Macaca fascicularis: one gene and its partners. The protein of the gene in region 1 binds, or shares a complex with, the protein of each later gene. Links are inferred from orthologs where the notes say so. Each region holds a gene or a part of one and is shown in the gene's direction. Other genes may lie near its edges.

Region 1 (4,227 bases):
GTTAGACTAGACGGTATCGCACCGTGCAGTGGTTCGCCCGCCTGCAGCTCCCATACAGCAGCCCGTGCTGTGCGCCCTGCTTGCTGCAGCCCGCCCTGTGTAACGCTCATCCAGCCTCTCCTCCCGCAGGACTCTGCAGGTCAGGTGACCCCCTGCCTCCTGCCCAGCTGCTCTGTGCCTAGACGTGGTTCACCAATCTGTCTTACTGGTGAGACCGACCTGATGCGCACCTGCCGGGTTTTACGTGACCCCCTAACAGCAGCTTTTCTCCCGGGCTCAAATCCCTCTGCAGACCCCAGACCAGAGCATAGCATGTGCACACACCAAGGTCACCAGGTGGTTTGGGTATTTACCTTTGGCTAGCTCTGAGCCCACCGCAGCATGGTAGCGGGAGCGCAGCTGCGCGGGCAACCGCCGGGTTTGTGGCCGGTTGGCGGGCTCAGTGCCGCCTCAGTAGGCTCTAGCAGTGGAAAACTAAAGCGACTACCCTAAGATACCCATAGCGAGAGGAGAGGGGCTGGAAGGGTGCTGGAGACAGGCTGTAGTGGGGCTAAAGGAGCAGACTGACCGGTGCTGCGGCCGGCACCCGAAGCAGCGAGCAGCGCACCTCAGCTGCGGTTGCCGCGCGGCATGGTGTTTATCTGTGGGTTCAGTGCCCACAGCGTTGTCCACTCTCGAAATCACCCTAAACCGGCCATAAACGCCAACCAAAATCCCCTTTAACCCTTCCCTAGAACCGCAGGACCTGCGAAACTCTGCGGCCGCTTTGTGGGGTCCCCCTCTGCGCAGCACGCCCCCCACCCCTCCATCGGTGCCACCGCAGCTACTGCCTAGGGGGCTTTGCTCTTGGTGGTACGCACCCGAGACCTTCTTATTCCCCTGCGTCACCATCCACATAAACAAGGGAGCACCCTGCTTGCGCTGCGTGGGCCACTGCGGAGACCCCTAGAGTGTGATGAGGGTGGGGGCTGTTAAAGTGCTTTACCGGAGCCAACCTCAGCAAGCAACAAACAAAAGCAGTAAAAAGTACACCCAAGGCATTTAAAAAACAAATTGTGTGCTCGCATACTCGGCATCCCCTCTCCCTCGTCTCTCTCTGCTTCTCTGGTGGGCTCACGACCACCTGTCGCATCCCCACGCATGCCTGTGCCCCTTCTCAGGCACCAAAAGCCTTGCGCTCTGGACTAGGGGCTTGAGATCCGGAGCTGCCTGGAGGCTGGGGGCTATGACTCAGTGTTTCAGGGGTATCCTGGGGTGATGAAACCCTTCTTCAGTCCCCCCTCCCCCGAGGAGTCGGTTGGGTTGGGGAGGGAGGATTTCAGCTCCTGTACTCCAGCGTCCCGAGGCCCACGTCTTGCGTCACGTGTCCCGCAACGCAGGAGAGCTTTCTCTGGCCAGGGGAGAAGCGAGGAGAAAGATTCCAAATCAGTCAGGGAGAGGAGTGGAAGGAGCCAAAACGTCCCTGCGAGGCCTGCGCTCGTCAGCCCCCTTACCCAAAGTCCCGGGCCGCGGCGCGAGGAGCAGGATTCTGGAGCTGGAGCCAGCTCGGCACTGGAACCGGCGTCCTCTGGTGGCAGCGAGAGAGCGCTACTGGCGATTTTCGGACCGAATCGGCACGCTCGTCAGATCCAAGCAGGCGGGACTGGCCTGGAGGAGAAAGAAAGAGAGAGGAGGGCATAAGGACAGACCAAGGAAGAGGGGCTGGGGGGCATACTGAGGGGATAAAAAGTGGCCAGAAAGGAGCCAAGACTCCACCAGCAACAATTGAGTTGCTTCAGCCTCAGTCTAGGGTTCCAGGCCTTGAAGCCCCCCAACCTCACAAGGGTTGGAAAGTGAGGCTGGTGAACTTTCCAGCTGGTACTTTGATTTAAAAATAACAATAATAATTTTTTCACCCTAGTTCGGTTGGGTGCTCCGTCTTACGGAGCCCCAAACTTATTTTGAGAGGCCGCCACCCTGTTATGGGCGTGCGCAACTGCCTCCACGGCAATAATATGTCAGGACAACGCGATATCCCCCCTGAAATCGGGGAACAGCCCGATCAACCATCTTTGGAGGCCCCAGGGGCAGCTGCCCCCGGTGCTGGGCCTAGCCCAGCCGAAGAGATGGAGACCGAACCGCCTCACAACGAGCCCATCCCCATCAAGAATGACAGCGAGGCCTGTGGACCCCCAGAGGTCTCCAGGCCCAACTTTCAGGTCCTCAACCCGGCATTCAGGGAAGCTGGAGCCCATGGAAGCTACAGCCCACCTCCTGAGGAAGCAATGCCCTTCGAGGTCGAACAGCCCAGCTTGGGAGGCTTCTGGCCTACACTGGAGCAGCCTGGATCCCCCAGTGGGGCCCATGCAGGCCTTGAGGCCTTCGGCCCAGCATTCGTGGAACCTGGAGCCTTCAGTGGTGCCAGACCAGGCCTGGGAGGATACAGCCCTCCACCAGAAGAAGCTATGCCCTTTGAGTTTGACCAGCCTGCCAAGACAGGCTGCAGTCAACCTCTCTTACAGGTCCCAGACCTTGCTCCAGGAGGCCCAGGTGCTGCAGGGGTCCCCGGAGCTCCTCCCGAGGAGCCCCAAGCCCTCAGGCCTCCAAAGACTGGCTCCAGAGGAGGCTACAGCCCTCCCCCTGAGGAGACTATGCCATTTGAGCTTGATGGAGAAGGATCTGGGGACGACAGCCCACCCCCGGGGCTTTCCCGAGTTATCGCACAAGTTGACCGCGGTGGCCAGTTCGCGGCAGTCGCGGCCTCGAGTGCGGTCCGCCTCACTCCCGCCGCGAACGCGCCTCCCCTCTGGGTCCCAGGCGCCATCGGCAGCCCATCCCGAGAGGCTGTCAGACCTCCTCCTAACTTCACGGGCAGCGGCCCCCCGTTGGAGATCTCCGGACCCCCGCTCGAGATTGGCAGCGCCCCCGCTGGGGTCGACGACGCTCCCGTCAACATGGACAGCCCCCCAATCGCGCTTGACGGCCCGCCCATCGAGGTCTCCGGAGCCCCAGATAAGAGAGAGCGAGCAGAGAGACCCCCAGTTGAGGAGGAAGCAGCAGAGATGGAAGGAAGCACAGCCGCTGATGCCGCGGAGGGAGGAAAAGTCCCCTCTCCGGGGTACGGATCCCCTGCCGCCGGGGCAGCTTCAACGGATACCGCCACCGGGGCAGCCCGTGCAGCCCCAGCGGATCCCGACTCCGGGGCAGCCCCAGAAGATCCCGACTCCGGGGCAGCCCCTGCCGCCCCGGCCGATCCCGACTCCGGGGCGGCCCCTGACGCCCCGGCCGATCCCGACTCCGGGGCGGCCCCTGACGCCCCGGCCGATCCCGACTCCGGGGCGGCCCCTGACGCCCCGGCCGATCCCGACTCCGGGGCGGCCCCTGACGCCCCAGCGGTTCCAGATGCCGGGGCAGCCCCTGACGCCCCAGCCGATCCAGATGCCGGGGCAGCCCCTGAGGTTCCCGCGGCCCCTGCGGCTGCTGAGACCCGGGCAGCCCATGTCGCCCCAGCTGCGCCTGACGCCGGGGCTCCCACTGCCCCAGCCGCTTCTGCCACCCGGGCAGCCCAAGCCGCCCGGGCGGCCTCGGCAGCCCCTGCCTCCGGGGCCAGACGCAAGCTCCATCACCTTAGACCCCCCAGCCCCGAGATCCAGGCTGCCGATCCGCCTACTCCGCGGCCTGCTCGCGCGTCTGCCTGGCGGGGCAAGTCCGAGCGCAGCTGCGGCCGCCGCGTGTACTACGATGAAGGGGCGGCCAGCAGCGACGATGACTCCAGCGGAGACGAGTCCGACGATGGGACCTTCGGATGCATCCGCTGGTTTCAGCATCGGCGAAATCGCCGCCGCCGAAAGCCCCAGCGCAACTTACTCCGCAACTTCCTCATGCAAGCCTTCGGGGGCTGCTTCGGTCGATCTGAGAGTCCCCAGCCCAAAGCCTCGCACTCCTCCAAGGTCAAGAAGGTACCCCTGGTGGAGAAGCGCAGACAGATGCGCAAAGAAGCCCTGGAGAAGCGGGCCCAGAAGCGCGCAGAGAAGAAACGCAGCAAGCTCATCGACAAACAACTCCAGGACGAAAAGATGGGCTACATGTGTACGCACCGCCTGCTGCTTCTAGGTAATGCGGCGGACTCTGCCTGCGGGCAGCAGGGCCGCCGGGGAACTGGGTAGGGGGTGGCAGGGCTGCCTGCTGGGGCTCGGGGCTCGACAGTGGGAGGAGGGGATCCAGCCAAAGGCGGGAAGAGCTTGCTAG
Region 2 (4,098 bases), on another chromosome or scaffold:
ACTTTTCAGAGATTATCTGAGCTGCTTTGTGAATGGCAGGTGAGCAAGAGAGGCGTCCAGAAGACCAGTTTGGAGGCTCTTGTCATTCCAAGATGACAATGACTTGGATGCATAGTGCAGCAATAGCCTCCCCAGAAGCTGTGAACTGAGACCTAGGGGACCATGGCCCCTCGTCCTCTGCCTCGCAGCCCCTGGCACAGGGCTGGTCCGTGGTGACAGAATGGCTTGAGGTGGTGCATCAGTCAGCAGTGGCATGTGTCTGAAATGCATGCTAGCTGAACCCTCCTCGCTTTCACCATCCTTTGCCAAGCTTCCACGGAAATCCCCCTCCACACACCAGGCTCCCCAAGCAAACCCGGTCAGCCCAGCTGACCGCCTGCCTCCCCGGCACTGGGCTGCTGTCCAGGCCTGGCGAAAATCTCTCACCATCCTGCCCACCCAGGCTCCCTCCACGGAGATCTGTGTGGTTAGCACAGTGGCCTTGATATCTTGATATTCAGGAGACGGGTTTTCCCATCTGAGCCTTCGTTTTCTCATCTGGAAGGCGGGCATTATTCTCCTTATCCCAAAACCCCTTTTCCCAAAGTCCACTTCCTTACTTCTCTCTCTCTTCATCCCTTCCTTCAACCAAAACAAAGCCACTCTAGGGTTTTTGAAGTTTCCTGATTTTTTTTTTTTTTTTTTTTGGTAATTAATAACCCCTGAACTAATTAATTTCTGCATTTGTGTTTCTAGATTTCAGATTCCAGAATTATTCAAGCTTTTCCTCAAAACTAGTTATTTCCCCCTTCTAGCCTGACTCTAGCTGGGCCCTGGGCGCCCAACGTGAGGGCTGCCACCTGACCCCCTGGGTCCAGCGCCCACCCGGGGCAGGTCTCCAGCTGTGGCCACTCAGCCAGTATCTGCGCAGGTGAACCATGGGGCTCAGGAATAGGCGGTTGTCCGGTCAAGGGCGGGCTCGCAATCAGCGGGGCGGGGAGAGGGAAAGAGCCAGGGAGAAAAGGGAGAGAAAGAGGGGGCAGTGTGTCAGAAAGGAAGAGGAAGGGGCAAGTGTCAGAGTCGGCGAGATGAGGAGGGAGGGTGAAGGAGAACGGAAAATAGAAAGTGGGTGAGACCGTGGGAGAGGGAGACTGGGGGAGAAAATGTGGGTGTGTGCGCGCTGAGAGAGAGAGAGAGAGAGAGAGAGAGAGAGAGAGAGAGAGAGAGAGAGACTTAGAGAGGGAAGGAAGGGAAGGAGCGTTGAGAGCAAGGAGGAGCGAGTTGGGGGCGGAGACGAGGAAGTGGGTGCGAGGCGCGGGGCGCAGGCCGTGCGCGCGCCGCCCGCTCCATCCCTGCCCGGAGCGCAGCCGGCGCGGGCGCGGGACCGAGGCGAACCGGGTGCGGAGCCAACGCCCGCGGCAGCAGCACCAGGTAACGCGGCCGCCGCCTCCCCGCGGGGCCTCGGCGCGGGGTGGGGTCCCGAGCGGGCTTGGGGACCCGTCGTGGGCTGGCGGAGCCGCCTGAGGGGCTGCTCCGGGATCCCCGGCGGCGGTCGTGGCCCCGAACCCGGGTTCGAGACCCGGCCCCACCGCTCCCTGGCTGTGCCTGACCTTGGGCAGGTGCCTCCGCTTGGCCTGTGAGCCTCAGTTTCCTTCTCTGTGACCGCCGGGGTTGTGCCTTCCCCAAGGGGGCGTTGAGAGCTCGGGATGCAGTCCCAGTCCGCGGCGGTGCTCGGGACACGGTTCGGCTTTATGTCCTCTTTGCCCGCGAGGGGTGGATTTGGAAAGTCCACTTGCGCCGAAACAGTCCCCGTTTTGTCCCTGGGTCTGGGTGGTGGCATTTTCTCGCGGCGATGTGTCTGTCGGAGCATGGAGCAACTTTCTGCTAAAGGGAAGCCAGCGGAGGGCGAGGGCTGGTGGGGAGGGGGCTTCTATGTCTCAGGGAACGAGAACGACCTGCCTTCATCCCGCTGGGCTGCGGCTTGCTGCCCGACGACCGTTGACTGGAGCCACGACAGGCAGCGCTCAGCGGGTGGGAGTCCTTGCTGGGGACATCTGGACGTGGATTCGCCTGTGGGATGAGCGGAGCAAGCGGCCTCTTTTGATAGGAATCCCAGTTTGCGCATTGACCTTGAGCTTGACAGCCTCAGTTTCCTCCTGAGGGCCATGCTAATCCCCCCACCCCGTCCATGAGGTGTTGTGAGGTGAACGAGGTGGGGCAGGAAAGTGCCTGTGTGCTGTGGTGGCCCCCAGTGGCAGCTGTCATGCCCTAGCTCAGGTGGGCCCAGTCCTGGAGGTGGTTGCCTCTTGGTAAGTCATTTCTACGTTCTAGGTCCCCTTTGTGTCCTTTGCCAGAGAGGGTAAGTCGGTGAAGCTGGGTGGTGACCAGGCTGGACTTGAAGCAGGGCAGGGCCTAGGGAATGTGGGGGGCCCAGAAGCTTCAGCCTCCACTCCAGACCTATCCTGAGGCTGATGCTCCTCTAGACATGACGTCTCTCAGATGGCAGTTTTTGTCCTGTGAAGACTCCTGGCATAATCTCTCAGCACCTCAGTTTCCTTATTTATAAAAGGAAGTTATAAATTCCTCCCTACTAATGAGTTTCCTGTCCCTGGAGGTTATCCAAGGCAATTGGATAGATTACATTTTTTGACATCTCTGGGTCTGGATGGTGGCATTTTCTCCTTATATCTGAGCTGGGATATAAGGAGAATTCAATATCATGAGAAAATAGCTTATCTCGAGAACCTGCTCCTTGCAGGCCGGGTACTTGGTGCATTACAAGTATGGCATTGGTTAGAGTCACCACAGCAATCCTGGGAAACTGGTGCCATCAAATCCCAATTTACAGATGAGGAAACTAAGGTTCTCAGAGGTAAATGATTGCCATGTGGTCACACTGGTAGGAAATGCCTGTGCAGAGACTGGAACCAGGTCTGCCCGCCTCCAGGGTGCTTCTGGTTGTATCGTGCTGGCCCCAAAATATGACTGTATAAGTTGCGGCATAGCACAGGGCCTGGCACATGGCACGTGCGCAATCAGCACTGGCTTCTTGTTCCATGTGTCATAGGAAGGGCTGCTACAAAGCACTGGAGAACGTGAGCCTGAAGGCTGGCAGCAGGGTTGGGGTACTCTTTCCAAGAGATTTCTCTCAGGGTCTGGAAGGAAGGAAGGTCACTACTCAGTACTACATAGGATGCTGATATCAGACTGACTCACCCCAGTCCACCAATTTCTTTGCTTCCTCCATCACCTTGTCCGGGTTAACCTTGTCTTTATTTATCTCAGTCTAGGCTAATTCTCCTGAGCTCACAGGCACATCCCACTCTCCATTCTAGGCTGATGATTAACTACTGACCCTCCCAGGCGACATTCCATGGGAAAAACAAGACCAGCTGTGGTCCATCTCCGCCAACACCCCATAGTAAGGGAAACAGGATTAAGTTCCAATCCCAAAGATTTAATTCAGACTTGAGGAAGAAATCCCTGATGATGGGGAAAAGGGTGTCCCAGCAGGCTAGAGAGGTTCCTTTGCCAAAAAATGTTTTAAAGAAGAGGAGTACATCCAAATGAAAGGATGGAGATATGCACAAAGCCTCTTTCATGTGCAGAGATATTCATCAACAATCAGAAAGTGCCTAAATGTCCAACAGTAGGGAATCAATAAAATTATGGGACGCACATGTGACCACCAAAAGTTGAGAGTTTTTAGTGAATGGAAACATGTTTTGCATCGGCATGCAAATGGCAGGGTCCCAAAAATGTGGCAAGAGCTTAGAAAAAAGACTGGAAGGAAATAGGCTAAAGAGTGTTAACAGTGTTTGCCCATGGATGGTGGGGTTGTGGGAGATGTGTTCCCTGACTACTTTTTCTTGACTTTCCAGATTTTATGCAATGAGCATGTTTTTTAATAATTAGTGGACTACCTGGCTTCGAGTTCTGAGAGCAGGGAGGAGGGTGCCTGATTGAAAAAAAGGTAACTTATGGTTCAGTAAGGGTGCACTGTATCTGAGGGTGCCCTGTCTCAGGCCTACAATAAAGACTGAATTGTCTCTAAAAGGGTTCAAGTAGTGTTTTCCAGGTTGAAATTTTCACCATCTTCTTGTCTCCTATCTTGTCCCC
Region 3 (4,022 bases), on another chromosome or scaffold:
CCCCGGGGCCCGCATTCATTGCTTACAGAGCAAAGGGAGCCTCCCGGGAGGGAAATCCAACGGTTGGAAACTTCGATTTATCCCAAAGGCGTGCCGAGTGGGAAGGCAACATTTTGATTTCCCAAACGTTGCGCCCAGCGGCTCCCTTCCACGGCGCGCGCCTTCAGGTCTCTCCGCAGCCCGGGACCCCGGGCAGCGAGTGGTCTCTGGGGCGCCCAGAGAGACCCGGCCCGCAGCGCCCGGAGCGCCCGCAGTGTACGCAGCGCGCGGCCGAGGAGCGGCGCCGCCCGGGGCGGAGGGCGGAGCCGAGTGCGCGCCCCGCCCCGCCCCGCAGCCCGGAGCCCAGCGCGCGCACCAAGGCGGGGCGGCGCGCGGCCCGTGCGCGTGTCCGGGGCCAGGAGGCGGCGGCGGCGTGCGCGGGGCGCGCGTGCGCGCTGCGGCGGGGCGAGGGGCGGCGCGGGCGCGCGTCTGTCAGTGACAGCGGGCGGGGCAGGGGCCGGAGGTGGTGGCGGCGGCGGCTCTTCCGACATGAGGCAGCGGCCGCGGGGGACACGGCGGCGGGCGCGGCGGCGGCCGCATCTCTAGCTCTGGGAGGCTGCCCCCGGCGTGGGCGCGGGCGGGCGGGCGTCCCGGCTGGCGTCGCAGGAGCCCGGCTCTGCGGCAGCGTCTGCACCGCCGCCCGGCGAGGGGCCCGCGTCCGTGGTTCCACGCGCTCGGTCCCGGGACAGCGGCGGTCCCGGCGGGGGCGGCGGCGCGCTCGGGGGGAAGCAGGCCCCGCTAGACGGGCCGCGCCGACGGGCTCCGCGCACTCGCAGCCCGGGGCGCCCCCACCCCCGGCGCCCGCCGCCGCGGGCAGGGCCGGCCCGGAGTGCGGGAGGCGGCCGGGGAGCGCGGGCCGGGGGCGCCCGCCGAAGCTCGCGGCTCCGGGTCGGGGCCGGGGCCGGCCGCGCGCCGCCTTTGACGCATCGGAGCGCGGCTCCTGCAGGATGGAGGGCTCCGCGCCGCCGGCGGAGTTGTTTGTGCGCAGGCGGCTCGCGGGGCTGGGAGCGCTCAAGGTCTGAACTTCCCTCCGGAGCCGCAGCTGGAGGAGGCGAGCGCACAAGGAGGAGAAGCCGCGCGGCGCGGAGGCCACCCTCGGGGCGAGCGGCGCTGAAGGCGAGCGAGCACAGCGGTCCCGGACCCACGGCGGCCACGCGGCGGGGACCCCCGGGCGCTCTAGGTCCGTCCCAAGCGGTTCTCGTCCGCCTCGAAGGTAGGGGCGGTGGGGGTACGGCTGAGCCGGGATCCACAGTTTCGGGGAGCAGATGGTGCCTGTCCAAGTCGCGTGCTGGAGCCGCCACCTAGGACGGGAGCAGGTCCCCGGCCTGCAGGTGTGCATGCCTAGGTGGGAGCGCAGCTAACTCTCCCGGTTTTGCTGGCAGGTACTGGTGACCCCGGCCCGGGCAGGCCCCGGGACTCGACAACATGGCTTCCCCGCCCCACCAGCAGCTGCTGCATCACCACAGCACCGAGGTGAGTTGCGACTCCAGCGGGGACAGCAACAGCGTGCGCGTCAAGATCAACCCCAAGCAGCTGTCCTCCAACAGCCATCCCAAGCACTGCAAATACAGCATCTCCTCCAGCTGCAGCAGCTCCGGGGATTCCGGGGGCGTCCCCCGGCGAGTGGGCGGCGGAGGCCGGCTGCGCAGGCAGAAGAAGCTGCCCCAGCTGTTCGAGAGGGCCTCAAGCCGCTGGTGGGACCCCAAGTTCGACTCGGTGAACCTGGAGGAGGCCTGCCGGGAGCGCTGCTTCCCGCAGACCCAGCGCCGGTTCCGGTATGCGCTCTTCTACATCGGCTTCGCCTGCCTTCTGTGGAGCATCTATTTTGCGGTGCACATGAGATCCAGACTGATCGTCATGGTTGGCCCCGCGCTGTGCTTCCTCGTGGTGTGTGTGGGCTTCTTTCTGTTTACCTTCACCAAGCTGTACGCCCGGCATTACGCGTGGACCTCGCTGGCTCTCACCCTGCTGGTGTTCGCCCTGACCCTGGCTGCGCAGTTCCAGGTCTTGACGCCTGTCTCAGGACGCGGCGACAGCTCCAACCTTACGGCCACAGCCCAGCCCACAGATACTTGCTTATCTCAAGTGGGGAGCTTCTCCATGTGCATCGAAGTGCTCTTTTTGCTCTATACCGTCATGCACTTACCTTTGTACCTGAGCTTGTGTCTGGGGGTGGCCTACTCTGTCCTTTTCGAGACCTTTGGCTACCATTTCCGGGATGAAGCCTGCTTCCCCTCGCGCGGAGCCGGGGCCCTGCACTGGGAGCTGCTGAGCAGGGCGCTGCTCCACGGCTGCATCCATGCCATCGGGGTCCACCTGTTCATCATGTCCCAGGTGAGGTCCAGGAGCACCTTCCTCAAGGTAGGGCAATCCATTATGCACGGGAAGGACCTGGAAGTGGAAAAAGCCCTCAAAGAGAGGATGATTCATTCCGTGATGCCAAGAATCATAGCCGATGACTTAATGAAGCAGGGGGATGAGGAGAGTGAGAATTCTGTCAAGAGGCATGCCACCTCGAGCCCCAAGAACAGGAAGAAAAAGTCTTCCATCCAAAAAGCGCCTATAGCCTTCCGCCCTTTCAAGATGCAGCAGATCGAAGAAGTCAGTATTTTATTTGCAGATATCGTGGGCTTCACCAAGATGAGTGCCAACAAGTCCGCCCACGCCCTGGTGGGTCTCCTGAACGATCTGTTCGGTCGCTTCGACCGCCTGTGTGAGGAAACCAAGTGTGAGAAAATCAGCACTCTGGGAGACTGTTACTATTGCGTGGCGGGCTGTCCCGAGCCCCGGGCCGACCATGCCTACTGCTGCATCGAGATGGGCCTGGGCATGATCAAGGCCATCGAGCAGTTCTGCCAGGAGAAGAAGGAGATGGTGAACATGCGAGTCGGGGTGCACACGGGTACCGTCCTGTGTGGCATCCTGGGCATGAGGAGGTTTAAATTTGATGTGTGGTCCAACGATGTGAACCTGGCCAATCTCATGGAGCAGCTGGGAGTGGCCGGCAAAGTTCACATTTCTGAGGCCACTGCAAAATACTTAGATGACCGGTACGAAATGGAAGACGGGAAAGTTATCGAACGGCTGGGCCACAGCGTGGTTGCTGACCAGTTGAAAGGTATGTGCACTTCTTTACCTCAGTATCCCCCCTCCCTGAAACTGATTGTATTAAAAAAGAAAAACACACACACACACACACACACACACAAACTTTCAACCTCAGTGTGTAGAGGCAGCTCAGGTATCTCAGAATGCCTTACCATGGGGGGATCTGAGGGTCAGTGTGACTTTTCCTCCAGCGGGTCAAATATCACAGATCTCTTCACAATGCAGAAAGGGACGCTGTACAGACGTGACCTAGATGCGACCTGTAGAAGGAAGGAGAACTTTGAACGAGCATAACCACTGGTTGGCTGAAGTACGGGGGTACGTCCGGTGAACGTAAGAGTATGGAGCCGTTCAGCGTTAGCACTTTTCAGCACTTAAGGAAATTGCCTTTGCATTTCATTTGGTCACCCCGAAGTCCCATCCAAATGTTTCTCTGTGCCCTTTTTGCGAAAACGTGGAGAATAAAACCTTTCTCCTCTCTGGGCCTCACTTTGCTTGTCCTCAAAATAGGGATAGGAAGTCGGCGCAGTCCTGCAGGACTCTGGAGAACTGGACGGAGTTACTTACCTCTGAGTGCACACTGCCTTTTATCTAGGTCTTTTTAAAAAAGTTTGCATTTTCAGCTTTCAGCCGTCATTTGTTTAAGGATATTTTATTATCACAGTATTTGCCTTAAGTGAAGAACCAGGCATTTTAGAATATTGAGCTTCTGCAGCCGGCAGGTGATCTGGAAGGGAGAGACGTACCCACAGAAGAGCTGGTATTCTCCTCCCTCGTCCTCTCAGGTTTGGATCTGGTGCCTGGTCCCTGGTTTCAAGCTCCCTACTGCTATTCTTGATGTTTTTACTGGGCTGCTGCTTTTTTCTAATACAGGA
Region 4 (3,973 bases), on another chromosome or scaffold:
CAATGCTACCTTTTCTTTTAATAACTGTCTTCCTCTTTCTAGAAGAAGTTGTACTTCCTCAATACTTGCTTTATTTCTGCATAAGGGTTTCTAGACGGCACTCTAAAACATTTGCCAGAAGGTGGCGACATAAACCCTTATTGCTTAGAGCTGTCCCAGGTGCTGAACCCAGTTTCTGGGATAGGAGAGGCTAGCCGGCTAGCGAACAGGGATTCCACCAAGTTTCCCCCAGAGGTTTGCAGGCTCTGGTAGGAAGTGCAAACGGCCATATAAAATGCCAGGCTTCACTTAAAACACATATGCAAAATATTTCCATCCCTGAATTTGCTAGCCACAAAGTGACAGTGTTACTGAAATTACAAGTGTAGTAGTGATGGAAAAGTGTGTGTGTGTGTTTAGAATATATATCACATTGAGTTTTGTTCTTCATTTCGAGTTGCAGTTGTTTACCTCTCCTTGTCCTTTGACACGTCCTTTATAATTTCGTTCTCTCCTAGTTCCGCAAGGTTAAAAAAAATGTCACAGGCAGTATCCTCCCCGAAAGAATCCGGTCTGACTGTTAGATGATAACGGAGGTAGCGTTTTTGTTGTTGTTTGTTTGTTTGTTTGTTTTGAGACGGAGTCTCGCTCTGTCGCCCAGGCTGGAGTGCAGTGGCGCGAGAACGGAGGGAGGTAACTTTTTAAAAACGAGACACACTCCGTCTTCTTCCTTCAATTAGCAATTATTGGGAGACTGATCCAGGACTGTTCACCTTCCCATTCAGGCTCCCTGTGCTTCCTTTACTCATCTCCTATTGCCACTCAGGGATGCTGACACGATTTAAGAATTTGACAGATAATATGAGGCAATGAGTAGTCGGAATTCCCTCTCCCCGAATACCCCCTCCCCAGTTTGACTGGATTGGAGGAGGAGTTTATCTGTTACAACCTTGGTCTGACCGACAGGGATCCGGTGTGTGTAAGTGAGTTCTGAGTCTCTGTTGACAAAAAGGGACTGGAAAGCAAAGACGCTGAGCTTGAGGGAGAGGAGGGCGGGGACCCAGAGGAAAGAGGCACTCCTCGGGGTTGGGGTTGGGGAAATATTAGGAGGGGAGGGTTAGAATGGGAGGGAGGGAGCCTGGCTTTCGAAGCGACTCACAGAGGGATAAATAAAGGGAAGTGAGGAGGAAGAGCGAGACTGAAAGGGAAGGCAAGTGGGGAGAAGGGGGTCGAAAGAGGCAGAAGAGAAAGAGAGAAGAGAGAGGAGGAGAGAGGGGGAGAGAGGGAAGGAAGGAAACAGGGAGAGGAGGGTCACAGAGTGACAGTGGAGGATGGGGCTTCTCCGTTCTAGATATTTCTGGGATTGGAGACTGTTTGCTAGAGGAGAGACTCCAGCTCCTCCGACAGCCAGTTTGGGAGCGGCAAAGTAAAATGGACAGCGACAGACAGACGTTCCAGCCACCTCTCCGCCGCCCGGAGATCCTGGAGCTGCTTTCAGGCCAACTCCAGTTTCCCAGCTGGAGCCTCTGAACGCGCTGGACTGCGCGAGCCGGGGGAGCGCCTGAAAGCTGCTCCTCAGAGATACCTTCGCTGAAGCAGTAAGAACTTCCTGCTTGGGTGCCTGCATTCCCTTCCTCCGAAACTTCCCTGGAGAAGCGTGGGGGAAGACCCCAGGGGAAGGGGCGAGGCGGATCTTCGCGCTGCTTTTTCTTCCCTCCCCGTTCCCGCGCCGGGCGCGCAGGCATGGATGTGCTCAGCCCTGGTCAGGGCAACAACACCACATCATCACCGGGTCCCTTTGAGACCGGCGGCAACACTACTGGTATCTCCGACGTGACCTTCAGCTACCAAGTGATCACCTCTCTGCTGCTGGGCACGCTCATCTTCTGCGCGGTGCTGGGCAATGCGTGCGTGGTGGCTGCCATCGCCTTGGAGCGCTCCCTGCAGAACGTGGCCAATTATCTTATTGGCTCTTTGGCGGTCACCGACCTCATGGTGTCGGTGTTAGTGCTGCCCATGGCCGCGCTGTATCAGGTGCTCAACAAGTGGACACTGGGCCAGGTCACCTGCGACCTGTTCATCGCCCTGGACGTGCTGTGCTGCACCTCATCCATCCTGCACTTGTGCGCCATCGCGCTGGACAGGTACTGGGCCATCACGGACCCCATCGACTACGTGAACAAGAGGACGCCCCGGCGCGCCGCTGCGCTCATCTCGCTCACTTGGCTTATTGGCTTCCTCATCTCTATCCCGCCCATGCTGGGCTGGCGCACCCCGGAAGACCGCTCGGACCCCGACGCATGCACCATTAGCAAGGACCACGGCTACACTATTTACTCCACTTTCGGAGCTTTCTACATCCCGCTGCTGCTCATGCTGGTTCTCTATGGGCGCATATTCCGAGCTGCGCGCTTCCGCATCCGCAAGACGGTCAAAAAGGTGGAGAAGACCGGAGCCGACACCCGTCATGGAGCATCTCCCACCCCGCAGCCCAAGAAGAGCGTGAATGGAGAGTCGGGGGGCAGGAACTGGAGGCTGGGCGTGGAGAGCAAGGCAGGGGGTGCTCTGTGCGCCAATGGCGCGGTGAGGCAAGGCGACGATGGCGCCGCCCTAGAGGTGATCGAGGTGCACCGAGTGGGCAACTCCAAAGAGCACTTGCCTCTGCCCAGCGAGGTTGGTTCTACCCCTTGTGCCTCCGCCTCTTTCGAGAGGAAAAATGAGCGCAACCACGATGCCAAGCGCAAGATGGCCCTGGCCCGAGAGAGGAAGACAGTGAAGACGCTGGGCATCATCATGGGCACCTTCATCCTCTGCTGGCTGCCCTTCTTCATCGTGGCTCTTGTTCTGCCCTTCTGCGAGAGCAGCTGCCACATGCCAACGCTGTTGGGCGCCATAATCAATTGGCTGGGTTACTCCAACTCTCTGCTTAATCCGGTCATTTACGCATACTTCAACAAGGACTTTCAAAACGCGTTTAAGAAGATCATTAAGTGTAAGTTCTGCCGCCAGTGATGACGAAGAAGTAGCCGGCCAGTCGGGGCTACAGGATCTGCCCCATTCACTATGCTTCCCCCAACCCTAGGGAATCAACACTTAAGATAATTTGCCACTTCTTCTCTGTCTCTCTGCTCCGCCCGCGGCTTGCGGACCTGGTCCCCTCCCCACTTCCCGCTCCAGCGCAGGGCGCTTTGTGCAAAGGAGACCCAGCGGCGGGGCGTGAGAGCCCAGAAAATTCCGTTTGTGAGAAGCGACTTTAGCTCAGACTTTGCCTTTAGCATCAGTTTTGATCCCAGCAATTGCCTCTTCTCTCTTCTATCCCCTAAATCTTTGCGGTAGATGTTTAATCCTTAGCTGTTCAAGGCAGAAAATCCAAAAACTAAAAAATAAATAAACTGTACACACAGCCGCCGCGCCCACTAAGGAGCTCCACCCTATCACCCAACTTCTAGAACTTGGACTTGAGGTTCGGGAATTTGCTCCATCTCTCCCGCCCTCTGGCCCTTGAAATATTCACCTTTTCCTCCCTATTTTTATCTTTTATTTTCTTTCATTGCTTCCCTCTCCGCCCTCGCCCATCCTTATGCACGAATCTGCTGGTCCAGAGAGGCGGAAGAGGCTGATTTCCCCGTGCCAGCGGTGCCCCTGGGATTCCCTGTCTTCGCGCAGACTTGAGATTAACTCTCTCGTGCAGTGCACAACCCCTGCTTCCTTTGTTTCCTTGGACTCAAAACAAGTGGCTAGAAGGTGTCTCTTAGAGTGGACTTGTAAGTACAAGGCCGGGCCAGTGGGGGAGAGCGAGGAGGAGGAGGGTGTGCAGACCACTTTGTCTATGCTTGTCTTGGTGTCAGCACTCACCAAAGAAGCTGACAATCATACAGTGGAGAGAACGGACGCTGTTTGCACAGGTAGCTGGCGAATGTGTACGTCCTGGCATCGCCACTTACTTACTGCGGGAGGCGCCAGCCGGCCGCTGTTTGCGCTCTGGGGACGCTGA
Region 5 (4,167 bases), on another chromosome or scaffold:
ATGATGTGTCCCATTCCTGACAGTCTTTACAGGATGGTGGCTAAATTGAATAAAAATGCACCTCGCACAGCATCTCCGGAGGTTCCCCAGCTACAAGGGATCTGATACACACAGATTTCCCCCACACTATCTGCCCCCTCACTCACTCTCCACAGAGGCACCGCTGGCTCCAGAGGATACACCGCCCTGCCTAGAATCAACCTAAGAATCAATATTATTTTAAACATTGTTTACTGCATAAGTATTTACTTATTAGAGAAACTGAAACTGTCATTTCAGATCTCATTTATCATGCCTGTTCACACAGCTCACCTTCTGATGTGAAACACTAGGTCTAAGTTCAATACTCTTAAACATTTACTTAACACGTATCAAGCGCCTTTCTAAAAATAATTGTAAAACACACACAACGTAAACGCACCATTGTAACCATATTTTAAGTGTACAATTCTAATAGTGCTAAGTCCATTCACATTGTTCAATTTCTTTAAGTTCTATGTGCTACCGAATGAACAAAATGATGCCCATGCAATCTAGGTTCACGAGGAACAAAAAAAGAAGAGAAAGAAACGGTTAAACGGTGCAGTGAAAAGAAAAACAGCCCTTTTCTTTTCATCCCAACAACAGGTTGGGATGAATCCAGGCCCTGTTGTTAAAACGCTGCATGGCTTTAGGTAAATCATCTAACCTTTTGGGGCGATCTTTTCCTCGTCTGAAAAATGAGAGGTTCAATTTAGACGATCTTTAAGAATTCTTTCAGCTTTAAAGCCAATTATGTAGAAAAGGAGAGGAGAAACATTTCCTAAGGAGCAAAAATTGGGGCGCGCACCAGTAACGACCAGCTCCACCTGTTTCCAAAGGTCTTGGCCAAGAGGCTATGAACTATCCCGGGCGAGTAGCCTGTCTGCCATGCTGTTTCGCGTGGAGCTCTGTAGCAGGCCAGAGCTCCTGCACCCCATTCCACCCTCAGCATCCGGGCATCTGCCTCTTGAGCACCCCAAATCCCCAGGTCCGGAGGTCGGCACCTCTGGTTCTCAGACCAGGTGTAGGTGGTCCTGCAATCACACCTCCGCGCTCGCGTGTTATCAGGGGAGGGAGTGCATTGCCAGGAGGCCCCCGAGTGCATCTCGGATTAGCGCCTCCGGGGCTGGGAACCAGCACGCCGGAGCAGGGCAGCTCCAGACGTCAATCAGGGCGAGAGGCAGAGAACAACGAGACACGCCAGGCCAGCCCGGTATGCCCAGGCTCCGGCAGGGAGCTTTCGGCCGAGCGTGCTCAGTGCGCCTGCCCCGTGCGTGCGCGCGCGCTCGTGCGCTCGCTCCCCGGGCCGCGCGCCCTGGCGCTCGCGAAAGCTCGCTGTCGCTGGGAGGCGCGCGCCGGCGGTCCTCCGCCGCTCCGGGTACCTGAGGGACGCGCGGCCGCCCTCGGCTGGCGGTGCAGCCCCCACCGCTTTGGAGCCAGACGCCGGGGTCTGAGGTGAGCCCCCCGAAGCGTGTGGGCCCCTGGGCCGGGGCAGCGGGAGAGGGAGCGGCGAGTGTGGAGCCCGCGGACGCGCCGCGCGGCTGCCTGCTGCTCCGCCTCAGCCCGCGCCGAGGAGCCAGCAGCAGCCCGGCGCCTCCTCCTTAGGGATCGTTCCTCTCGTCGCGGCCACAACAAAAGCCTTGGGCACCGGGCTGTGGCGGACGGCGGAGCGGGGGCCTGGGCCCGCGGTGGCGGCAGGGGGCCTCGGGGACGCCTAGTTTGGGGCTGAGGGCTGACGGGGGAGCTGCCCCTGGAGACGGTTAACCCTGTCCGCCCTGAGCCCGCGCTCGGCAACCTGTGCGAGTGTGGACCGCAGTTCTTTCGCCTCCACCCCGGCCCAGACCCTGCGCGGCTGGGAGAGGGGCCTGGCTGGGAGAGGGGCCTGGCCGGAGCCGGCGGCAGCGCGGGGCGCCGGGGGGCGTGGGCGGAGGACAATGCGCCGGTGGCTCCCTGCAGCCCGAAGCGCGCGCCGCCAGGCTCCCAGCCCCGGCTCGGGTCAGCTTCGGGCCCACCTTTGCCTGCCCACGCCTGAAAGTTTCCCCGCCGGTCCGTCAGTTTGCAAAATCCTTGCTCCCTTCCGCGAGCTTCCCCCGGCTGCCTCCTCCGCGGGCTATGGGTTTGCCGTGGGGTGGCCACTGCTCGATGCCCGAGGGTCCGCATCTGAAATCAAGCTGTTGTGAAATAGCCTGCAAGGTTATGGAGCCTTATGTCCTTTCAAGACATGTAAACATTTTCCTAGAGGTGTTTTACATCCTAGGAGTCTTGAGTTCGATCCCTCTGTTGTAAGATAAGCCAAGGGGGCTTTTCTTGGCTTTGTTTTTAAGAACAAAAGCACGTGCCATGAATTGAGGCAGAGGAGTAGACTTCAGATTTAGAGAGATCGGCCCCATGAAGGAGGTTCGGCGGTTTGCCCAGTGTAGAATGACTCTTTGAATTTTGGTTCCCGTCTGGATTGAGGGAGATGCAGCGGCAGTACAGCAGAGCAGCCACATCAGTGACTGCTATGGGAAAGTGTTCAGACACAGCTTCATTTTAGAGAAGTAATTCTGATCGGGAATGCTTATTGATGGGAATTGAGTTACTTTGTAAAGCCAGTATGATATGAGCAAGGAAACAAAGACCTGACTACCCCTGGGGATGTTACCTCCTTCCCTCATCCTCCTTTAGTCCTTGGTGGTGTGCTGGTGCCGTTCCTGCATTTTAGTCTGGAAAAGGAATAGAAATCCTTAGTTCTATTATTAAGAAGTGGTTACTCTTGAAGATAATGCTTTCCGTCTTTACTATTAAACAAATCAATACTATTTTTTTCCTCCAGAAAAAAAACCCACAAAGATTAAAAAAAAAAAATCAGAGTCGGAGAGCCTAGGAAAGAGGTGTAAGAGCTTGACTGGGCGGGGCTGGAAGGATAGAGCTGAAGATAAAGTATAACTAAGAGGCAGCCCTTCTACTATACCCCCGTCCCACCCCATTGTTTGAAACTGTTAGGAAAATAAGTAAATTACGGGTAAAGCCTATCATTCTGCCCTCTCTTTCCTCCTATCCTTTTTCCCTCATCCACTACTAAAATTCTGTATCTCCATTTCTCCTAAATCTGTAAAAGCGTCCCATTTATAAAAGGAGAAGAAGGACAATGAGCCGTTTCCTCATCCTAGCTACTCTATGCTTCTGAGCTTTATTTTGTGCTTTGAGCATTCAGGTGGATATTTCTTGGGAGTTCCGTGATTGAGATATTTGAAGTAGAGAGGGCTAAGGGAATTTAATAGCAAAGTGCACATTCTTTCTTTGTATAGAACAAAGTGAAAGCTTTATCACTGGGGAAGGAGAGAGGAGTTTTTTACTCACAATAAGTTGTCTGTTTCCCAGGAAACAGACTTAAATTTCATATTAGTTTGATAGTGAAACTCTAAGATTTTATATTCAAAACTTTTTCTGAGTATGTGAGTTTGTTGATGTTAAGCTGCTGTTGACTTTCTTTTCCTTCAGAGACAGATAGTAGGAAACAATTCGTACCACTTCTTTGAGCGGTTTTGGCCCGAAGTTTTTTTTTTTTTTTTTTCCTATCCCCAGAATTCTACAATTATGCATGATTAAAACTGCAGCTGTGCACAAAAATAAAAAGAACGATTTTGAAAATATGTACTGGATAAATTATTCAGCATAGATTGGAGGAAATTTTGTGGTAGTCTCGAGGAAAGAAATTAGATTTTCAGTAGTGATATTTCTGTAATGCTAGGAACAAGTGAAGTGTAACAGCTTCTTACTGGCTAGGAAAGAGTTTTACCTACTATGTCAAAAAATCAATTTCCTCTTTTTGCTTTCCAGTTCATCATGTTGGGAACTATTGACAGTTCGGTATATTCAAGGAGTGTATTGCACATTAAGTTAGAGATGAATATAACTAGGCTAGTGGACCTGAAAACCAAATCCTGGTCCCCAGATTTTATCTCATTAAAATAATTCCGTAGTCAAAGCATGCAAACCATACAGCCTTGTTAAGGGGGATGGAAAGCAGGGACTTGGTATTAGAGAATTTTTTGATAGCAGATTTAAGAGAAGCTGGGCTGAAATTTCAGCCCATTTTAAAGTCCAGAATCTATCTGTCTCTTAACTTTTCAGTTTTATTTTCAGGTCAATTTTTAAAGATCT
Region 6 (3,531 bases), on another chromosome or scaffold:
AAAAAATTTTTTTTTTGTAGATACAGAGGTCTCAATATGTTGAACTCATGGCCTCAAGTGATCTTCCTGCCTTGGCCTCTCTAAGTACTGGGATTATAGGTGTGAGCCACACTGTGGCTGGCCTTTTTTTTTTTTTCACTACAGCATGTAGCAAATTAGACTGGCCATCTGGGGACCCTCGTCCTCATTCAGGTTATGCTCACAGAATGTGTTACCCAGAAAGAGCTGAAGTCTAGGGCCTCAGTTTCCCCAGTGCACTAGAGGCAGGTGGGCCTGGCTGAGTCCCAGCCCCTCAGCGGACTCTGGCCTCTATGGCCCTACATTCTCTCCCTGCAGGAGGCTCCACTGCACCCGCAACTACATCCACATGCACCTGTTCGTGTCCTTCATCCTTCGCGCCCTGTCCAACTTCATCAAGGACGCTGTGCTCTTCTCCTCAGATGATATCGCCTACTGCGATGCCCACAGGGTAATATGCCTGGGTGCCCCGGGGTGTCGCCAGGCCTGCCTACCTTCCCCAGCCTAACTTTGGAGAGGGAAGTAGCCTAGTTATCCTTCCTCCAAGCCCCTGCTGAGGCTGCACTTAATACCAAGGATGAAGTGGCCAGTGCTGACGCTGGGCCAGGAGGTTCAGGGAGATTCCACGGCCACATGTGCACAATCTGGGTCACGTAGGAGAGAAGCTTGTGGGGGTTGCCGTAAACTCGCAGTGTCCAGGAGTGAACTAGCCACTCTAGGAATTAGGTATAGAGGGAGATGCCTCTTTTGCCTACTTCTGCCAGTTCCTAGCTGAAGAAAGATGACCCGGTCTGTAGAGGGTGGGGGTTGGTCATAAAAAGAAAAGAGTGAGCACGGGCCAGTATGTCTGTATAAACGCGTTTGCGATAAAACAGTTGTGTTTTCTTAAATCTAACCCCCTTTCTCCTTCCAAATGCCCAGATGACTCAATTCATTGCAATCACCCTGTGTGTCAATTGGGATTCCCTTTGCTGCAAATAACAGAAAACTATATATTGGAGTCTTAAACAAATGGGAACTGTTTCCTACAGAAACAGTCCACAGATGAGGTGGCGCAATGGCTGTGCGATGCCATGAGGGACACAGTCTTTTTCCCTGTTTCTGCACTGCCATCCTTAGAGTAGGCCTTTGATGTCATGCTTTACGTGGTAAAAGGTTAAACATTTTTTTTTCTTTTGGGCAGCTTTGCCTTTCTATTGAGAAAAGGTACCCTCCCCAGAAACTCCTATCCTGCATCTCATTGGCTAGAGTTGAGTCATGTAACCACACTTAATTGCAAAGGAAGCAGGGTGATTGAGTTTTTTACTGTCACAGTCTCTATTGGAGAGGCGAGCAAGGGAGAAAACAGATTGGAAATTGAGATTAGTTCAGCCAGCCTGCTTGCCATTTCCTACCACTCACCTGTTTGTATTGTTCATAGTTGTGTGTGTGTGTGTGTGTGTGTGTGTTTTCTGACTCAGACTGAGAGGTCTGACTCAGACTGAGAGGTTCTTCAAGTAGGATCCATGTCTCTCAAGGAGGTCTCCAGGATGAAACAAGAGTACTTGCTGGGAGTCAGGAGCCTTAAATCCTAGCCACGCTTCATTACTGACCAGCAGTGGACAAGGCCAGCAACGCCCCAGCAGGGAACCTTCTCAAGTTTTACTAAACATCAGACTCACAAGTCAACAATGGGCCTTGCCTGGAGTCAGAGCCTCTGGGAAGGCCATAAGGCAGGAACCACCACTGTCTCACAGGCAGCACTGGGTGCTCCTCCTTCTCGGGCTTGTCTTTGCGGCAGCCCTAGGGCTATCCCAGGAGCTGTCCCATCCTCAGGGGACAGCTCAATGCAAAGAAAAGGACAAAGGCCCTACCACGGCAGAGGTACAGGAGCTGTGCTGGTGTAGAAGCCTGGTGCCCCACAATTCTATCAGCATAACTTCCAGGGATCCCTGCAGGGGACATGCCTGTTAAAAGAGTCAGTCACTGCATGGGGGAAGTCCAACTCTATGACATTCCCATCAGATATGTGGAGAGTGCAATGTACCAGCCAGGGCCATTTTTGCCATAATCAGTGGTGCCTCCTAACAGAGTTGGCACATCCCATCATTATGTGTTTGCAAGGGAACTGAGCTTAGAAAACATTTTTTTTAACCCTTTGCTCAGAAATCTCTTCCCTTTCTAGGCCTTGGTTTCCTCATCTGAAAAAATGAGGGGATTGGGCAGTATCCGGCACAGTTTTGTGGTTGAAGGACTGTCTCCTCATCTAGCCTGGCAGCCAGTGCTAGCATTTGAACCTAGTTCCTGCTCCTGTGATGGCTCATTGGCCAGCTTGACTGAACCCACCAGGTCTGTGGACTCCCACTCTCTAGAGAATGCTGCAGGCCTGATGGAGGAAGGCCACAGAAGATGGCCTTGAACCCCAGAGGCCTGTTCTTGTGGCCTGGCTCCTGCCCCTACAACACCCTCTTGCTCTCTTTGGGGCCACTCACCAGAGGGAGCCCCACTGCCACCCGGCCTGGGCTCAGCTGCCTCTCTCTGTCCAGGCGGGCTGCAAGCTGGTCATGGTGCTGTTCCAGTACTGCATCATGGCCAACTACTCCTGGCTGCTGGTGGAAGGCCTCTACCTTCACACACTCCTCGCCATCTCCTTCTTCTCCGAAAGAAAGTACCTCCAGGGATTTGTGGCACTCGGATGGGGTATGTTTCTCCCTGGGTCTGGTACTTGCATGGTATGTGGGAAGGGGCGCTGAGTCGAGAGTCAGAGGGTTTGGCTACTAGTTCCAGCTCCACAATTAACTAACTTGTGAATCTTTTTTTTTTTTTTTTTTTTTTTTTGAGTTGGAGTTTCGCTCTTGTTGCCCATGCTGAAGTGCAATGGTGTGATCTCGGCTTCATCTCCCGGGTTCAAGTGATTCTCCTACCTCAGTTTCCCAACTAGCTGGGATTACAGGCATGTGCCACCACACCCAGCTAATTTTGTATTTTTAATTGAGATAGGGTTTCACCATGTTGGTCAGGCTAGTCTTGAACTCCTGACCTCAGGTGATCCACCTGCCTCGGCCTCCCAAAGTGCTGGGATTACAGGCGTGAGCCACCGCGTGCAGCTAACTTGTGTAATCTTAGAGAATCTCCTTGATGTTTAACCCTCTGGTCTCAGTTTACTTATCTGTCAAGTGGGAAATCATAGCTCAAATTTAGCCCCAGTTTCTGGCATCTAGATCTTTTTACAGTTCGTTCCTACCCAATACTCGTTGCCTCATCTGCCTTCAGACGGTCCATTCCTACATCCTCTTTCTTGCTTCCTTTCTGTATTAGGATGCTTTTGACTGCTGGCATCAGAAAATCTGTCAAGCTTTAAACATAAACGAAATCAATTGGCTCATATAACTGAAAAGTCCAGGGATCACCAACTTCAGGAGAGGCCGAATCCAGCAGCTTAACACTGTTTCTTTCTGTCTCTACTTTGCCTTCTGTAACATCGGCTTTATAGTTAGGCTGCTGTTTCTAGTGGAATGGCCAGCAGCTTCTGGG
Region 7 (4,259 bases), on another chromosome or scaffold:
AAAATAGAGGCAGAAGTATGGGTTTGTAACCTTTGAACCCTGAATCTGTCCTTCCTTGCTTATCCAAAATGGGGAGAATCCAGTTCTAATCTCTTTGTATTAATGTTATCATATTGTAATTTAAGATCACTGGTATCTAACCCCTCTACATTAAGAGCAAATTGAAGGGCATCTCCCAGCTGCAGGAAGAACTCAGATGATGAGTGAAAAATTCTGGGGTTAGGGGAGTGCAATATAAGCAGGCTAACCTGTTTCAATGAAACAGATAATCAATGAAGACACCTGCATCATTTGTTTCCAAAAGTTAGGCCTTGCAGCCAAGGCTTTGGCGTTCTAGAGAAAATTAGCTCTAAAGACCAAGGCACCTAGGCAACCTAGCAGAGAAGAAGTTTCGTGAAGTCAGAACCCAGGTGTTTGGGTGAGGGTAGGGAGTTGGGGCAAAGAAACACTGGGCTTCTAAAAAAGAAATGTCTCCCCTGAGATGAATGACTTGTTGGCACAAGTTTCAGGAAAGACAAAGCTCTAAAAATATCATTGTAAAATTAATAATACTTCTCCAAAGTAAGGACTCAACTCAAACTATCCTTGGATGCAATTAAAGTGGCCTTGGAAGAAGCTTTCAGATGTGGAGGTACTCACCAGTGTCCTGACAGCACCTTCATCTCTGAAGAAGTCATCAGAGGGAGCCACTACCTTTGATTTTATGACCACAGATGAGTTTCCTTTAATCTGAAAGAGATTGGCTTTTGGCATTTTTTTTTCTTAGGTTTTGTTTATTTATGTTCTTTTAAGCTTTAAAAAAATGTCATTGCTGTGCTTCTTATTCCTCTGGCTGACTTCAGAATTGAGGACCGGGAATCCTGAAAATTTGCAAAGTTATCTCCTATCCTCACTGCCTTGGAACACCCATTATTCCACTCTCTGTCTAATTTCTACTCATGTTTCAAGTCTAAACAGGAAGATTCTTCTGTGATCATGCCTCTCTCTTTCGCATGAATTAAATGCATACATTATGCTAGTAATGCTTCTGGAATGAAGGAATAATCGAAAGAAAGAAAGTGGGGGGAGGGAAGCAGGGAAAGTAAAATAAGAAAGGCAGCCTTATCTGGAAGGAGCTCCCAAAAGTGTATCTCTTAGCACATATCAGAAAAAAAGGGTCACCAAATATCCAGACAATGAAGGTATGGATCAGTAGGAAGAATCTGAGGGAATTTGGAAAGGCTACATTTTGGAAAAAGCATTGCTCTCCCAGGGTTCCCTTTTAAAAATTTAAATAAACCTTGAGAGTAGTGATGCATAAATGAATTTGAGCTGTCACAGTTCCCCCTTTGGAAGAGGGCCTCAGAGTTTATAAAAGACCCTAAGTGGGGGGTGGGAGGAGACAAAAGGGGTGGGATGTCAGTTTCAAGTTTCCAGGGCATTCTCTGATTGTGCTCTATGTCCCTGCAGACTGCCAGTGTGACCTCACCCTCTCCAGTCACCCCTCCTCAGTTCCAGCTATGAGTTCCTGCAACTTCACACATGCCACCTTTGTGCTTATTGGTATCCCAGGACTAGAGAAAGCCCATTTCTGGGTTGGCTTCCCCCTCCTTTCCATGTATGTAGTGGCAGTGTTTGGAAACTGCATCGTGGTCTTCATCGTAAGGACGGAACGCAACCTGCACTCTCCGATGTACCTCTTTCTCTGCATGCTGGCAGCCATTGACCTGGCCTTATCCACATCCACCATGCCTAAGATCCTTGCACTTTTCTGGTTTGATTCCCGAGAGATTAGCTTTGAGGCCTGCCTTACCCAGATGTTCTTTATTCATGCCCTCTCGGCCATTGAATCCACCATCCTGCTGGCCATGGCCTTTGACCGTTATGTGGCCATCTGCCACCCACTGCGCCATGCTGCTGTGCTCAACAATACAGTAACAGCCCAGATTGGCATCGTGGCTGTGGTCCGCGGGTCCCTCTTTTTTTTCCCACTGCCTCTGCTGATCAAGCGACTGGCCTTCTGCCACTCCAATGTACTCTCACACTCCTATTGTGTCCACCAGGATGTGATGAAGTTGGCCTATGCAGACACTTTGCCCAATGTGGTATATGGTCTTACTGCCATTCTGCTGGTCATGGGAGTGGATGTAATGTTCATCTCCTTGTCTTATTTTCTGATAATACGAACGGTGCTGCAACTGCCTTCCAAGTCAGAGCGGGCCAAGGCCTTTGGAACCTGTGTGTCACATATTGGTGTGGTACTTGCCTTCTATGTGCCACTTATTGGCCTCTCAGTGGTACACCGCTTTGGAAACAGCCTTCATCCCATTGTGCGTGTTGTCATGGGTGACATCTACCTGCTGCTGCCTCCTGTCATCAATCCCATCATCTATGGTGCCAAAACCAAACAGATCAGAACAAGGGTGCTGGCTATGTTCAAGATCAGCTGTGACAAGGACTTTCAGGCTGTGGGAGGCAAGTGACCCTTAACACTACACTTCTCCTTATCTTTATTGGCTTGATAAACATAATTATTTCCAACACTAGCTTATTTCCAGTTGCCCATAAGCACATCAGTGCTTTTCTCTGGCTGGAATAATAAACTAAAGTATGGTCCATCTACTTAAAGGACTATTATGTGGAATAATACATACTAATGAAGTATTATGTGAATTAAAGACTACAATAAAACCAAACATAAAGATACATGATTGAAGCCAAGTTGAAAAATAGCATATGTCTTGGAGGAAATGTGCTCAAATTGCTAATGATTTAGTGTTGTCCCTACTTTCTTTTTATTATTATTATTATCATTATTATTATTATGGAGGTATTGGTTAACTGTCATGTACAACATTTTTTTTTTTTTTAGATGGGGTCTTGCTCTGTCACCAGGCTGGAGTGAAGTGGCACGATCTCGGCTCACTGCAACCTCCGCATCCTGGGTTCAAGCAATTCTTCTGCCTCAGCCTCCTGAGTAGCTGGGACTACAGGCACGTGCCACCACACCTGGCTAATTTTTTGTATGTTTCAGTAGAGACGAGGTTTCACCATGTTGGCCAGGATGATCTCGATCTCCTGACCTCGTGATCCACCTGCCTCGGCCTCCCAAAGTGCTGGGATTACAGGTGTGAGCCACGGCGCCCGGCCCATGTACAACTTTTTAAATAGGGAATATGATAGCTGGGCATGGTGGTATGCACCTGTAGCCCCCACTACCCGGAAGGCTGAGGTGGGAGAATCGCTCGAGTCCAGGAGTTTGAGGTTCAGTGACCCATGATCGCACCACTACACTCCAGCCTGGGCAACACAGCAAGACCCTGTCTCAAAGCATACAATGGAATAACATGTCAAATGAAATAGGGAAAACGAAGCTGATCATTTATGTAAGCCAGGGCTTGTCACAGTCTCTATTGTTATTATGCATTACCTGGGAATTTATATAAGCCGTTAATAATAATGCCAACCAACATATCACGTGTGCTCACAATGTTCTGGCACTATTGTAAGTGCTTTACAGGTTTCATGTGTTCTTCATAACTTGGTGGAGTAGGTACCATTTGTGTCTCTTTATTATAAGTGAGAGAAATGAAGTTTATATTATCAAGGGGACTAAAGTCACACAGCTTGTGGGCACTGCACCAAGATTTAAAATTAAATTCGACAGTTGAATACAGTTACTTAACTACCACGTTATATTGCTTCCTGGGTAACATCTGCCATTTATTTCCTCAGCTGTACAAATCCTCTGTTTTCTTTCTGTTACACGCTAACATCAATGGCTTTGAACGTGTGATGAGAGATAATCCTGCCCTAGTTGTGGGCAACACATGCAGAATACTCTTCCTGTTTTACAGCCACCTTTCATGGTCTTATTGCTTGCTTCTTTCCAGATTCAGGGAGAATGTTGTTGTCTATTTGTCTCTTACATCTCCTTGATCATGTCTTCATTTTTTAATGTGCTCTGTACCTGTCAAAAATTTTGAATGTACACCACATGCTATTGTCTGAACTTAAGTATAAGATAAAATAAAATTTTATTTTAAATTTTGCTGAGTGTTATGCCTATCGATTTTACATTTATAGAATCCTATAAATCAGAGTTGGAGATGTGAGATATTCCCTAGTCTTCTTTCTCACCAGTGCAGGAATCCTGACTGGAATGGTTCACACAATAGTAAGGATGCTGAATGCATCTTATTTCAATGTAGGGTATTCCCACTGTACTGTTGAGCAGATCCAGTGAGCAGCTGAGATCTGAATACAATCATTGGGCCTAT

The links.
Region 2: the proteins of GNAS (region 1) and HRH2 are in contact, whole or in part, in a cryo-EM structure (PDB 9IXJ), measured with the Homo sapiens proteins. The link is inferred for Macaca fascicularis from reciprocal best matches to the Homo sapiens genes GNAS and HRH2. Residues at the interface, in NP_000507.1 of Homo sapiens: Gln35, Arg38, Ala39, His41, Asp215, Lys216, Val217, Asp343, Leu346, Arg347, Thr350, Tyr358, Phe376, Arg380, Asp381, Ile383, Gln384, Arg385, His387, Leu388, Arg389, Gln390, Tyr391, Glu392, Leu393, Leu394; in XP_006714928.1 of Homo sapiens: Arg116, Ala119, Val120, Met121, Pro123, Leu124, Arg125, Tyr126, Pro127, Val128, Ile205, Val208, Ala209, Gln212, Ala213, Arg215, Ile216, Ile219, Ser220, Trp222, Lys223, Lys231, Ala232, Thr235, Leu236, Leu291, Asn292, Arg293, Asp294, Arg296.
Region 3: the proteins of GNAS (region 1) and ADCY9 are in contact, whole or in part, in a cryo-EM structure (PDB 9U3P), measured with the Homo sapiens proteins. The link is inferred for Macaca fascicularis from reciprocal best matches to the Homo sapiens genes GNAS and ADCY9. Residues at the interface, in NP_000507.1 of Homo sapiens: Ile207, Glu209, Phe222, Arg228, Arg231, Arg232, Lys233, Trp234, Ile235, Gln236, Phe238, Asn239, Glu268, Leu272, Ser275, Ile276, Asn278, Asn279, Arg280, Trp281; in NP_001107.2 of Homo sapiens: Ala381, Phe382, Arg383, Phe1070, Glu1072, Tyr1075, Glu1076, Glu1080, Cys1081, Arg1083, Val1084, Glu1087, Asp1091, Phe1152, Asn1155, Met1156, Leu1157, Trp1158, Phe1159.
Region 4: the proteins of GNAS (region 1) and HTR1A are in contact, whole or in part, in a cryo-EM structure (PDB 9GL2), measured with the Homo sapiens proteins. The link is inferred for Macaca fascicularis from reciprocal best matches to the Homo sapiens genes GNAS and HTR1A. Residues at the interface, in NP_000507.1 of Homo sapiens: Ala39, Asp215, Lys216, Val217, Arg342, Arg347, Thr350, Ala351, Gly355, Tyr358, Phe376, Arg380, Asp381, Ile383, Gln384, Arg385, His387, Leu388, Arg389, Gln390, Tyr391, Glu392, Leu393, Leu394; in NP_000515.2 of Homo sapiens: Asn69, Ala71, Asp133, Arg134, Ala137, Ile138, Pro141, Ile142, Tyr144, Val145, Asn146, Arg148, Ile218, Ala222, Arg225, Ile226, Lys228, Thr229, Lys232, Val233, Asn325, Arg327, Asn328, Lys332, Arg339, Lys342, Thr343, Thr346, Leu347, Asn404.
Region 5: the proteins of GNAS (region 1) and FZD3 are in contact, whole or in part, in a cryo-EM structure (PDB 8JHI), measured with the Homo sapiens proteins. The link is inferred for Macaca fascicularis from reciprocal best matches to the Homo sapiens genes GNAS and FZD3. Residues at the interface, in NP_000507.1 of Homo sapiens: Lys34, Tyr358, Gln384, His387, Leu388, Tyr391, Glu392, Leu393, Leu394; in NP_001399840.1 of Homo sapiens: Arg232, Lys318, Ser321, Glu322, Leu397, Val400, Lys408, Lys413, Leu414, Phe417.
Region 6: the proteins of GNAS (region 1) and SCTR are in contact, whole or in part, in a cryo-EM structure (PDB 6WZG), measured with the Homo sapiens proteins. The link is inferred for Macaca fascicularis from reciprocal best matches to the Homo sapiens genes GNAS and SCTR. Residues at the interface, in NP_000507.1 of Homo sapiens: Gln35, His41, Val217, Phe219, Thr350, Tyr358, Phe376, Cys379, Arg380, Asp381, Ile383, Gln384, Arg385, His387, Leu388, Gln390, Tyr391, Glu392, Leu393, Leu394; in NP_002971.2 of Homo sapiens: Arg174, His178, Tyr239, Leu240, Leu243, Leu244, Ala245, Ser247, Phe248, Ser250, Glu251, Arg252, Leu320, Lys323, Thr326, Gln327, Thr329, Arg339, Arg342, Ser343, Leu347, Tyr388, Leu391, Asn392, Gly393.
Region 7: the proteins of GNAS (region 1) and olfactory receptor 51E2 are in contact, whole or in part, in a cryo-EM structure (PDB 8F76), measured with the Homo sapiens proteins. The link is inferred for Macaca fascicularis from reciprocal best matches to the Homo sapiens genes GNAS and OR51E2. Residues at the interface, in NP_000507.1 of Homo sapiens: Gln31, Gln35, Arg38, His41, Asp215, Val217, Phe219, Tyr358, Phe376, Cys379, Arg380, Ile383, Gln384, Arg385, His387, Leu388, Arg389, Gln390, Tyr391, Glu392, Leu393, Leu394; in NP_110401.1 of Homo sapiens: Met58, Tyr59, Asp120, Arg121, Ala124, Ile125, Cys126, His127, Pro128, Leu129, Arg130, His131, Ala132, Leu135, Asn136, Asn137, Ile220, Thr223, Val224, Leu227, Pro228, Ser229, Glu232, Lys235, Ala236, Thr239, Cys240, Lys294, Thr295, Lys296.

The regions. Positions count from the first base shown.
Region 1 is NC_088384.1:114,906,104-114,910,330, forward strand, and holds the start of GNAS (guanine nucleotide-binding protein G(s) subunit alpha isoforms XLas), read left to right. Parts: upstream 1-1,427; 5' UTR 1,428-1,961; coding exon 1,962-4,092; intron 4,093-4,227. UniProt on the Homo sapiens protein: Guanine nucleotide-binding proteins (G proteins) function as transducers in numerous signaling pathways controlled by G protein-coupled receptors (GPCRs).
Region 2 is NC_088380.1:182,529,832-182,533,929, forward strand, and holds the start of HRH2 (histamine H2 receptor), read left to right. Parts: upstream 1-1,274; 5' UTR 1,275-1,410; intron 1,411-1,589; exon of another isoform or gene 1,590-1,983; intron 1,984-4,098. UniProt on the Homo sapiens protein: The H2 subclass of histamine receptors mediates gastric acid secretion. Also appears to regulate gastrointestinal motility and intestinal secretion. Possible role in regulating cell growth and differentiation.
Region 3 is NC_088394.1:4,895,165-4,899,186, reverse strand, and holds the start of ADCY9 (adenylate cyclase type 9), read left to right. Parts: upstream 1-1,199; 5' UTR 1,200-1,252; intron 1,253-1,421; 5' UTR 1,422-1,464; coding exon 1,465-3,157; intron 3,158-4,022. UniProt on the Homo sapiens protein: Adenylyl cyclase that catalyzes the formation of the signaling molecule cAMP in response to activation of G protein-coupled receptors.
Region 4 is NC_088380.1:69,611,009-69,614,981, reverse strand, and holds the start of HTR1A (5-hydroxytryptamine receptor 1A), read left to right. Parts: upstream 1-1,173; 5' UTR 1,174-1,722; coding exon 1,723-2,991; 3' UTR 2,992-3,973. UniProt on the Homo sapiens protein: G-protein coupled receptor for 5-hydroxytryptamine (serotonin). Also functions as a receptor for various drugs and psychoactive substances.
Region 5 is NC_088382.1:31,668,045-31,672,211, forward strand, and holds the start of FZD3 (frizzled-3), read left to right. Parts: upstream 1-1,345; 5' UTR 1,346-1,476; intron 1,477-4,167. UniProt on the Homo sapiens protein: Receptor for Wnt proteins.
Region 6 is NC_088386.1:12,318,374-12,321,904, forward strand, and holds part of SCTR (secretin receptor), read left to right. Parts: intron 1-336; coding exon 337-469; intron 470-2,543; coding exon 2,544-2,697; intron 2,698-3,531.
Region 7 is NC_088388.1:69,722,703-69,726,961, forward strand, and holds the start of olfactory receptor 51E2, read left to right. Parts: upstream 1-1,449; 5' UTR 1,450-1,499; coding exon 1,500-2,462; 3' UTR 2,463-4,259. UniProt on the Homo sapiens protein: Olfactory receptor. Activated by the odorant, beta-ionone, a synthetic terpenoid. The activity of this receptor is probably mediated by G-proteins leading to the elevation of intracellular Ca(2+), cAMP and activation of the protein kinases PKA and MAPK3/MAPK1.